Nothobranchius furzeri: one gene and its partners. The protein of the gene in region 3 binds, or shares a complex with, the protein of the main gene of each other region. Links are inferred from orthologs where the notes say so. Each region holds a gene or a part of one and is shown on either strand. Other genes may lie near its edges. The genes, in order: mapkap1, deptor and mtor.

Region 1 (2,359 bases), on a different chromosome or scaffold from region 3:
GGGATGCTGCATCCTGTCTGAGATGGGACTTATTTGTTTTAGAGCTGGTGGACTCCACACAACCAAGAGAGTTGATGATGTGCTTTTTCTGTTGTTTTCTTGCCTTACAGGTCATGCTATATTTAAACTCACCTATCTGAGCAACCATGACTATAAGCCTCTGTACTTTGAGTCTGATGCTGCTACGGTCAATGAAATAGTGCTGAAGGTGAGTTTTTTCTGACTCTGACTGTAACCTGCTCCTGTCTGAGGACAAACACTCACATTTCTCTACTGCTGTGGAAGAAACTCATTGGTTTAAATTGTTTACCTAAATGGTAAATGGCCTGTGTTTGTTATAGCGCCTTCTAGAGCCCTGGAACCCCCCAAGGCGCTTAACAACACAATCAGTCATTCACCCATTCACACCCTGGTGGTGATGAGCTACACTGTAGCTACAGCTACCCTGGGGCACACTGACAGAGGTGAGTTTGGTCCCTCCAACCACCACCAGCAGCAGGCAAGGCGGGTTAAGTGTCTTGCCCAAGGACACAGCGACAGACTGAGCGGGGCTCGAACCTGTAACCTTCTGATTACGAGGCGAGCACTTAACTCCTGTGCCACTGTCGCCCCAACAGGAAGTTGAGCCCAGGCCTGACAGATGTTTACAGTCTGATGTCTGTGCGTCCATTTGGAGCAACTCTTCAACACTCTAATTCAGTTAGGCTTTTTTATCACATGTTCTTTAATTAAAAACGTCCTTAATGAACATAATGGACAGTGATATTTGTAAATGGGACTGAAATGCTGCTTTCACCAAAGTGCTGCAGCTGGACTCAGGTCAGAGGAATGTTGCAGCTCATGGTGATAATCTGGTTCACCAGAAAGTTAAAAGAATAATTATTTTCCTCATTATTTTGATTATTTGTTTAGTTTGAGGTTTTCTGAACCTTTGAGGATAACCAGTGGTGGAGTATTAAAGTCCCACTCTGGCTGTTTTTGTTGAAACCACTTATGTCAAATGTACCTTGAGTGATTTTCATAAAAATGCCGTCATCCATCATCCACAGCATCCCTAAATATCCGGTTCTTTCTGCTCTGGGAGACCATTTTCCAGTGATGGAGACGGTTCAGATGTGATATTCTTGAATAGATATCTGAGCAGAACACATTCCATCATCACGCCATACATGCTATGACTGAAGCAGTTTTGTGTTTTGGGGTTTGCGTAGGTTAACTACATCCTGGAGTCTCGGGCCAGCACCTCTCGGGCTGATTACTATGCCCAGAAGCAGAGAAAGCTCAGTCGTCGGACAAGTTTCAGCTTCCAGAAAGAGAAGAAGACGGGTCAGTAGACAGAAGCTGCTGGTGCAGACCTTTTCCTGACCATCTGTCTCTCTGATGCTCCTGATCCGGAGCTGGAGACCTACAGGATAACAGGCAGGTTTTCCTGCTTTCGTTGATCCAAGCTGGAGTCTCTGAATCTCCGCAAGGGAGCAGATCACGTCAAAACGGAAACTTAATTTCAACAGACTGAAGAACTGTGGACAGTTTGGCTGTTGTGTAGCAGTCAAGTATTTTGTTCTCTCACTGCCTCTGTATTTAAATTCTGTCTTTCAAGATGTATTTGTAAAACTTCTACAAGTTGGTCGAGTTAGCCCAACAAACAGATCACAGCTACAGGCAAAAATCTGCTTCTGTTCCTTCTTTAACCCACTGGAGTGGGCCTGTTTTTATGTACTGTTTAAAAACATTTTCTATTCAGGAAATGAAATATTACAAACCATACTAGCTCAACTGCTTTGAATTACCTTCTTTCTCCAGTCCTCCTTCTGAAAGCATCGTTTTAACCATCTGGTACCTGCACCAGACACCTGGGTTATTTCTGGCCCTACGCTTTACCATCACCTACAAAGCTACTATTTCTTTTCATGAAAATTAATTAAGAAGCAGCTGAGATGGGTTGGAGAAGCATGAGATAACCCTGCAGCTAACTGGCGAAAACTTTTGCTCATCATTTTAACGGATGTTTAGAATCCCAGCGAGGGTTTAAAGGCGATCTGGAAAGTCTACCAGTAGTGTTAGAAATGTGTTGCTTCCATTGACAGCCCAGTGAGAGACTGGTTTAACTAAATGCTTCCAGACATTTGGAACGAACTAAAGACAAACTCACTGAGACTTAATGAAAATGAATTCAGAGGAACAGGACATAAACGGCATTTTTAAATTTTCCAACTGTCTGTAGAGAATGACACCAGTAATTTTATAATAATCCCATGTTTAATTAAAATAGAGATGTTTTGATTCGATGACCATGAAGGTTCAGTACAGTGATGCACAGATCCTGTTCTCTATTGTTGCTGTGTCACTGCCACTCTGC
Region 2 (3,657 bases), on a different chromosome or scaffold from region 3:
GGCCAGAGTGCTGAAGCTCGGCGCATTGTTATTATGAAGCTAGGGCACGCGCGCGTGCAAAATACACTTGTTTTCAATTGCATTACTTTTTCTTAGGCCCGCCCACAAATGAGTTTCTGGCTACGCTAATGGTGACATATGACAGACTTCTCTGAGCTCCGCAGCCATTACACTTCGCGCACCCCCAGGGGTGCGCACACCACACTTGGGGAATCCCTGGTTTAGGGCTACTGTAGAACGGTTGACCTGCAGCTTTTTAAATGTATTTTATTCATTCTACTCAAATAAAAATGCTGCTCTGCCTTTGTTTCAGAAGAAGACTTAGATCTGTGCATAAGATCACATTAGGAATCTTTCACCTTTTACGGTTTCAAAATGACAACAACTGCACTTGGAGCTAGTTCTTTTGTTATGTGAAGCTCTGATCTTTAGCTACGATAAAGATGAATGAGCCAACGTCGAGACACGCTCAATGACTCAGCATCATATCGGACTAAATAAAAATATTATGAAGACATTTTGAAAGGTGCAGAAGTAGCTGCTTATGAAATCCACCTAGCCAGATGTTTACGTCTGAGTCCCAAAGCAGAGCAGCGTTCCTCACTAGCTGCACCAGAATCTCCGTGTTTGTAATGAGGAATTCCATCAGCTGTGGGCGATATTCCTGATGAACCTCACGTTTTCATGTAAGATGTTGTTTGTTACAAATGCTTTTGCATTGGCAGCTTTTATCAGTCATTTCACTTCTTTATGAGCTTTTCATAATAAATTCTGCTACAGAATTACCTGAAACTTCTAAAATAGGTTTGATTTCACATGAGTTCCTTCCCAGATTCAACTGATCACGACTGGCTAGACGGAAAACATTTGTTGTTCCACTGCTGCTTTTTCCACCACGACTTGCTGATTCAAACAACCCAGTTCCACTTTTATGATGCATCTTATTTTTTGTTTACAAGCAACTATGAGCAAAGAAACCCCTTTCACAATAAAAGCATGTTCCACAAGTGTTCAACAACAACAGTAGATGCTAGAGATTATTTCTGTCAAACTCCTACACACTCAAACTTTTCTGATTAAAGAGTGAATACCAAAGTAACCACAAGCAACTACAGCTGAGAAACGTCCTTTTGGAGATGTGATAAAGAGTCGAGAGTCCACCTAGCAACACAAACAGAGCTGCCCTGGTAACCTTATAACAGGAACATGAGTCCAGCCCACCAGAATTATTACAGTGTCCGTTTTCATGGATCGGAGTCGACAAACAATAAAAAACATGAAGTAAACGTGTCAAAAACACAGATAATCTCCGGCTTTTAAACATGGCTTCCAAATAAGACAACAGATGTCCTTCCTGTTTAACAACAGATTGTTTTTTTCTACTTTAAAGGTGTGATTCACTCATTTATTCAATACATTTGTAGTGTTCTCTAGAGTAAATCAAAGCCTTATGAGTCATTAGAAAAATAAAAAAGCTATGATGCTCCTGTTCTGAGATGCAGAAGTTAGCTGGTGCAGAGGTGGTCTTAAACATCAGGACTGCTCATTATTATTAATGATATGCACACACCTTGCCTCTGATTGGCTAACAGAATGTCTTAAGCCATGTTGCTAAGTCACCACCACAAAGACACTCTCCGCTCTCTCTCCTTGCTGCAAAATGTTTTAAAAAGCCCTCCTGTGGGCGGGCACGACAGTGTGACATAGATATGTGAGACTTGTCAAATCCTAGCATTTCATCTTCTACTTTCTATCAGAAGCTAATGCTAATGAGATAGGGGTAGCCTGTGTGAAAAACTCAGTGACTAATTATAATCAGAAATAATCATTAGAATTTGTTTTTTCAGTCATCCACACCGTTAAGCTTGAGTTTTATCATTTATCTCAGTGATTGTTGAGTTAGAAACATGGCCAGTTTTATATCTGACACCACTCTGCAGCCCTCAGCTGACCAAAGACTGCACTTGATTGTTTTGTGGAGCCGGTAGGTGTCCTAAGAGGTACTCTTTGCCTGCTTCACAGCTGTTAGCTGTGATGCTAGTGGTTAGCATTTTCAGTTTGCCGATCGTCAATAAAAAGCTCAAGAAGAAGAAAAAAAGAAGTTAGCTGCTTCTGCTGGGATCGTGGTGGAGCCTGGAAGGACAAATAAGAGAGTAATAACTTTGGAGGTTAAGAACCAGAGTGAACATCGACACACCCTACACTAGTTAGCAGGAGCTAAAGGAAGCTACAAAATCACGGACTGATGGTGACCTGGCTTTGTTGCTGCTGGAAAAATATAATTTTTTTTTTCAGTTCCAATAGTGTGGCTCTTTTACTTCTTGGTTTATATAAGTACTAGTTGGCTCATGCTATTTTTAGCTCATTGTTAGTATTAGCTACAGCAGGCTGCAGCAAGGTTGTTTACGGCAGTTGTAATTCCACTTTCAACCAGTAGGGCAGAGGAGTAGAAAGCAACTCGTTACTTTACATGTCCATATATGTACCTGACAGGAAGCTGGTGTTCCCTCCATCCGAGTGCTGTTTACGCAGACAGAAGGGACTGTCGTAACTCTCAGGGATGCTGCGGCTGCGTTCTTGAAGAAGCTCCATCAAACGCCGCCGCCGCCGGAAGTTCATGCGAAACTGGTAGAGAAGAAGTCCGTCGACAAAGTGATGCTTGTTGGTGACTGAATAATCATAAAAACAGACATGAGGTAATGAGGAGGTTTTGTATTAGGAAGTTAGAAACGGATGTGGAAATGAAAGCTAATAGACCTGTTAATGTACGTGTGTGTGTGTGCGTGTGTGTGTGTGTCTCTACATTTTTCTGCTCTGGAGCTGCTCAGTTCTGCAGCAGCTGCTTGGAGCTTGAGGACAGGAAGTGAATGAGAAACAAGAGAACAGATGGACTCATTGAGGGCCCAGAAGAGACGGAGGAGCAGAAAAAGCTGAATCACATGACGACTGGTCTTTACAACACATTTGTCATTTTCTCTAAAGACTTTTTTTCCTTCCTGAAGTTGAGTAGTAAAATGTAACCTCTGAATTTCTCCTAAGTTTGCATAATCCAAGTAGTTTGTTCCCTAAACCATCTTTCCCCCTCAAGCTGGGCGTGAGAGAACAGAGAAACTTTTACTTTTGTTGGAGGTTCTGGAATCACTTTATTTATTGTTGTAAAACAGAGTTTTGGTGAAGGAAGCCTTTATAGTTCTCCATTAGGATGCATCTACATGAAAAGATGAAGTGTCAGTGCAGTTTGGCATTTAACAAGAAGAAATTTAAACATTGAATCACCAGAAATGAGTCTTTTTTCTTCCAACCTGCTTTTAGAGAAAATAAACCCTTCAGCAATGAAGCCATGTAACTTCTAAGCAGTCTAATCTCATCACACTCTAGATCCAAGTCCATTTTTCTGTCATGTGGTGACATCTGCAAAAACTCATTTAGGCAGCCGCTCGGGAGAAACTTCCTACAAAAGTGGTCGCTAATGAACCGTACGAGAGCAGGAAAAGATACCTGCAGGTCAAAGTCCAACTTGTTTAAACTCACCCTCAGACAGGAAGTGAAAGGTGCTTTTATAAAAGTGGGACATGCAAACAGCAGCTGGTAATATTGTCTGTAATTAGTCTGATTCAACAGAGGCAGCAATCATCCTTCACACCTGCAGGTAATGTG
Region 3 (3,657 bases):
TTGCCTCAATAACTGCAGTAATGCGGCGTGGCATGGACTCGATCAGTCTGTGGCACTGCTCAGGTGTTATGAGAGCCCAGGTTGCTCTGATAGTCGTCTTCAGCTCCTCTGCATTGTTGGGTCTAGCGTATTGCATCCTCCGCTTCACAATACCCCATAGATTTTCTATGGGGTTAAGGTCAGGCGAGTTTGCTGGCCAATCAAGGACAGGGATACCATGGTCCTTGAACCAGGTGCTGGTGGTTTTGGCACTGTGTGCAGGTGCCAAGTCCTATTGAAAGGTGAAGTCTGCATCCCCATAAAGTTGGTCAGCAGCAGGAAGCATGAAGTGCTCTAAAACTTCCTGGTAGACGGCTGCATTGACCCTGGACCTCAGGAAACAGAGTGGGCCAACACCGGCAGATGACATGGCACCCCACACCATCACTGACGGTGGAAACTTTACACTGGACCTCATGCAACGTGGATTCTGTGCTTCTCCGCTCTTCCTCCAGACTCTGGGTCCTTGATTTCCAAAGGAAATGCAGAACTTGCTTTCATCAGAAAACATAACTTTGGACCACTCAGCATCAGTCCAGTCCTTTTTGTCCTTGGCCCAGGCGAGACGCTTCTTGCGCTGTTTCTTGTTCAAGAGTGGCTTGACACACGGAATGCGACACCTGAATCCCATGTCTTTCATGAGTCTCCTCGTGGTGGTTCTTGAAGCGCTGACTCCAGCTGCAGTCCACTCTTTGTGGATCTCCCCCACATTTTTGAATGGGTTTGTCGTCACAATTCTCTGCAGGGTGCGGTTATCCCTAGAGCTTGTACACTTTTTTCTACCACATTTTTTCCGTCCCTTCGCCTGTCTGTTAATGTGCTTGGACACAGAGCTCTGCGAACAGCCAGCTTCTTTAGCAATCACCTTTTGTGTCTTGCCCTCCTTGTGCAAGGTGTCAATGATTGTCTTTTGGACAGCTGTTAAGTCAGAAGTCTTCCCCATGATTGTGGTGCCTTCAAAACAAGACTGAGGGACCTTTTAAAGGCCTTTGCAGGTGTTTTGAGTAAATCAGCTGATTAGAGTGGCAGCAGGTGTCTTCTATATTCAGCCTTTTCAGAATATTCTAATTTTTTGAGATACCAAATTTGGAGTTTTCATTAGTTGTCACTTATGAATATCAAATTTAAATGTAATGAACATTGGAAATACATTGGTCTGTGTGCATTGCATGAATATAATGTACAAGTTTCACGTTTTGAATGGAATTACTGAAATATTTTCAACCTTTTGATGATATTCTAATTTACTGGCCAGCACCTGTAAAAACAAGGCTCAGTGTTTGTGTTTCCATTCACCAGGCTTTAATCTACCCACTGACCGTGGCCTCGAAGTCGACCACCACGGCCCGACACAACGCTGCTAACAAGATCCTGAAGAACATGTGTGAACACTGCAACACCCTGGTTCAGCAAGCTATGATGGTAGAGAAATGCAGTCAGAGTTGTTCTTTACATTTAAAAATGGGTTTGTTTACAAGGTTTCTGCGTCAGTTGCAGAAAATCTGAGCAGATATGTTTTATGTAACATGAAAGAAAAAAATCCCCGTGTCGTTTCAGAAGCTGGAATTAATATCAGAGCAGGCTGACCTTTTACTTGTTGTCCTTGTTCATTCAGGTGAGTGAAGAGCTTATCCGAGTCGCTATCTTGTGGCATGAGATGTGGCACGAGGGCCTCGAGGAAGCCTCTCGTCTTTACTTTGGTGAGCGCAACGTAAGGGGCATGTTTGCTGTGCTGGAACCGCTTCATGCCATGATGGAGAGGGGGCCACAGACCCTCAAAGAGACCTCTTTTAATCAGGTTGGTTTTGCCTTAGTGTAGTAGGTAAATGTGGTGCAGCCTTGCATGACTTTCATTAATATGTTGTTTGCATGCTTCAGGCTTATGGCAGAGATCTGATGGAGGCTCAGGACTGGTGCAGGAAGTACATGCGCTCTGGGAACGTTAAAGACCTGACTCAGGCCTGGGACCTTTACTACCACGTATTCAGGCGCATCTCCAAACAGCTACCACAGGTGAGTTGTCGCAGGCTGCTGCCGCAAACCATCTTTACATCACAAACACAGACGTAGGAATATGTACGGCTAATGTTTTTCCAGGTAGAAAATATAGTCATGAGGAAAAGTGGCAACATGTGACGGGATAGGAATCTTATCCAGGTTCAAGGAATGGCAGAACATAATGAAACGGCATTTGGCAAAGCATGTTGGCGACTTGTTAGAGATACAAAATACCAAGAAAATGTGTAATATCTCTCGTCTAATCGCAGTGTCTTAATAGTATCGTATTTGTTTTTTGCAGTTTTGTCTCGTCTCTCTTTTTTTACTCCAGTAATTCACCATCTTACTCTCAGAGGTTGACAACTCTTTTTAAAGTTCTTGCCTTTCTTGTATTTTCCTATTTGAGATCTAATTGAGGCTCAAAACGCTCCCAACGATCCTGTGAGCTTCGTGAGGAGAAAAAGAACAGAAGAAGCTCTTGCTCTTGTCTTTTCTTTGGAGATAAAACATTGATGTTTTAGAGCAAACTAAGTCATTAATAATCATGTTACTGTTAGCCAATCAGAGGCAAGATGTTTGCATATCATAAATATTAATGAGTAAAACTTGTAATCCTTTTTCTTTCCGCCGACACACTCCTCTGACGCACCTCTACCACTAAAACAGGAGCATGAGAGATTTTCTTCCCTTTAAAAAAGACTCACAAAACATTCATTCATTCATACTAAAGACCATCAAAAATGTACTGGTAAAAACACGTTCATTTACTTTCAATTCCTTCTTTATCTTTAAAGCCACCTGCACCTGAAGCACCATTTTAATATTGTATTTAGTGTTGTAATGAGCCTGATCGTGGCTAGCGATGTAAGTACTTTAGTCATCATGAATGTTTATTATGTGAAGTGCCTTGAGACGACTCTTGTCTTGATTTGGCGCTATATAAATAAACTTGAATTGAATTGAATCTTTTGCTTTCATCATGGGTCAAAAGATTTCACTTAAATATTAGCCTCTGAAATGGGAAAGAAATCAAAAAGATTGATGCCGTTCCTCACCACCGTCGTTACAACGTCGGGGTGACATTAAAAATATTTCTGTCAGCAGCTCTTACTCCATATAATAAATGGAGATGGTAATCTGATTTGTCATCGTGACGTGGCCTTGCTGGCGGCGCGGCCGTCCTGCAGGGACATTACAGTCCGCAGCATGAGCAGCGCAGCTGTATAATAACACGCTGGGAGCAGTGCAAATATTCTTCCTTGGGGTATCGTCATAGGAATAAATCATCGCCAGGACGCATCCATACAGCAGATTTAGAGCAAGTTGGGGCCGTAACCATATGCAGTCAATGTAAATCAACGTTTACAAATTAACTTTGAAATTCTTTCAATAGTCTTTCAGGCTCTGATTTGATGGCTGCAGGAGCATGGAGGTAGTTTCTGAGACAACTTTCCAGAGATAAAACCTTAAATTCCACATTTCCAGTGTCCGAGTCCACAAATGCATTTTGCTTTGGGCTCTCTTTTTGTGCAAAACAGACTGAAAACTAATGATCTGTTTCTAAAATAAATTCATCAACTTTCCCTACAGCTCACCTCCCTGGAGCTGCAGTATGTGTCT

The links.
Region 1: mtor (region 3) and mapkap1 share a complex: the UniProt entries of both Homo sapiens proteins name them as parts of the mechanistic target of rapamycin complex. The link is inferred for Nothobranchius furzeri from reciprocal best matches to the Homo sapiens genes MTOR and MAPKAP1.
Region 2: the proteins of mtor (region 3) and deptor are in contact, whole or in part, in a cryo-EM structure (PDB 7PEC), measured with the Homo sapiens proteins. The link is inferred for Nothobranchius furzeri from reciprocal best matches to the Homo sapiens genes MTOR and DEPTOR. Residues at the interface, in NP_001373429.1 of Homo sapiens: Met304, Gly305, Phe306, His1494, Cys1498, Trp1501, Gln1525, Asp1527, Ser1528, Glu1530, Glu1531, Cys1534, Met1535, Ile1536, Arg1538, Arg1547, Gln1554, Leu1556, Leu1559, Gln1562, Cys1563, Lys1566, Arg1683, Leu1685, Asp1686, His1687, Lys1710, Ile1711, Phe1714, Gln1715; in NP_073620.2 of Homo sapiens: Arg54, His56, Leu57, Lys58, Thr59, Tyr60, Pro61, Val101, Arg116, Lys119, Asp121, Gly122, Thr123, Phe124, Lys131, Ala132, Arg135, Arg138, Lys142, Glu177, Gly178, Glu179, Glu185, Cys304, Asn305, Lys307, Gly335, Asp336, Ala337, Val338.

The regions. Positions count from the first base shown.
Region 1 is NC_091746.1:37,017,411-37,019,769, forward strand, and holds the end of mapkap1 (target of rapamycin complex 2 subunit MAPKAP1), read left to right. Parts: intron 1-110; coding exon 111-208; intron 209-1,211; coding exon 1,212-1,334; 3' UTR 1,335-1,776; downstream 1,777-2,359. UniProt on the Homo sapiens protein: Component of the mechanistic target of rapamycin complex 2 (mTORC2), which transduces signals from growth factors to pathways involved in proliferation, cytoskeletal organization, lipogenesis and anabolic output.
Region 2 is NC_091745.1:40,951,066-40,954,722, reverse strand, and holds part of deptor (DEP domain-containing mTOR-interacting protein), read right to left. Parts: intron 2,670-3,657; coding exon 2,487-2,669; intron 1-2,486. UniProt on the Homo sapiens protein: Negative regulator of the mTORC1 and mTORC2 complexes: inhibits the protein kinase activity of MTOR, thereby inactivating both complexes. DEPTOR inhibits mTORC1 and mTORC2 to induce autophagy.
Region 3 is NC_091755.1:52,432,013-52,435,669, reverse strand, and holds part of mtor (serine/threonine-protein kinase mTOR), read left to right. Parts: intron 1-1,338; coding exon 1,339-1,461; intron 1,462-1,654; coding exon 1,655-1,837; intron 1,838-1,917; coding exon 1,918-2,052; intron 2,053-3,627; coding exon 3,628-3,657. UniProt on the Homo sapiens protein: Serine/threonine protein kinase which is a central regulator of cellular metabolism, growth and survival in response to hormones, growth factors, nutrients, energy and stress signals.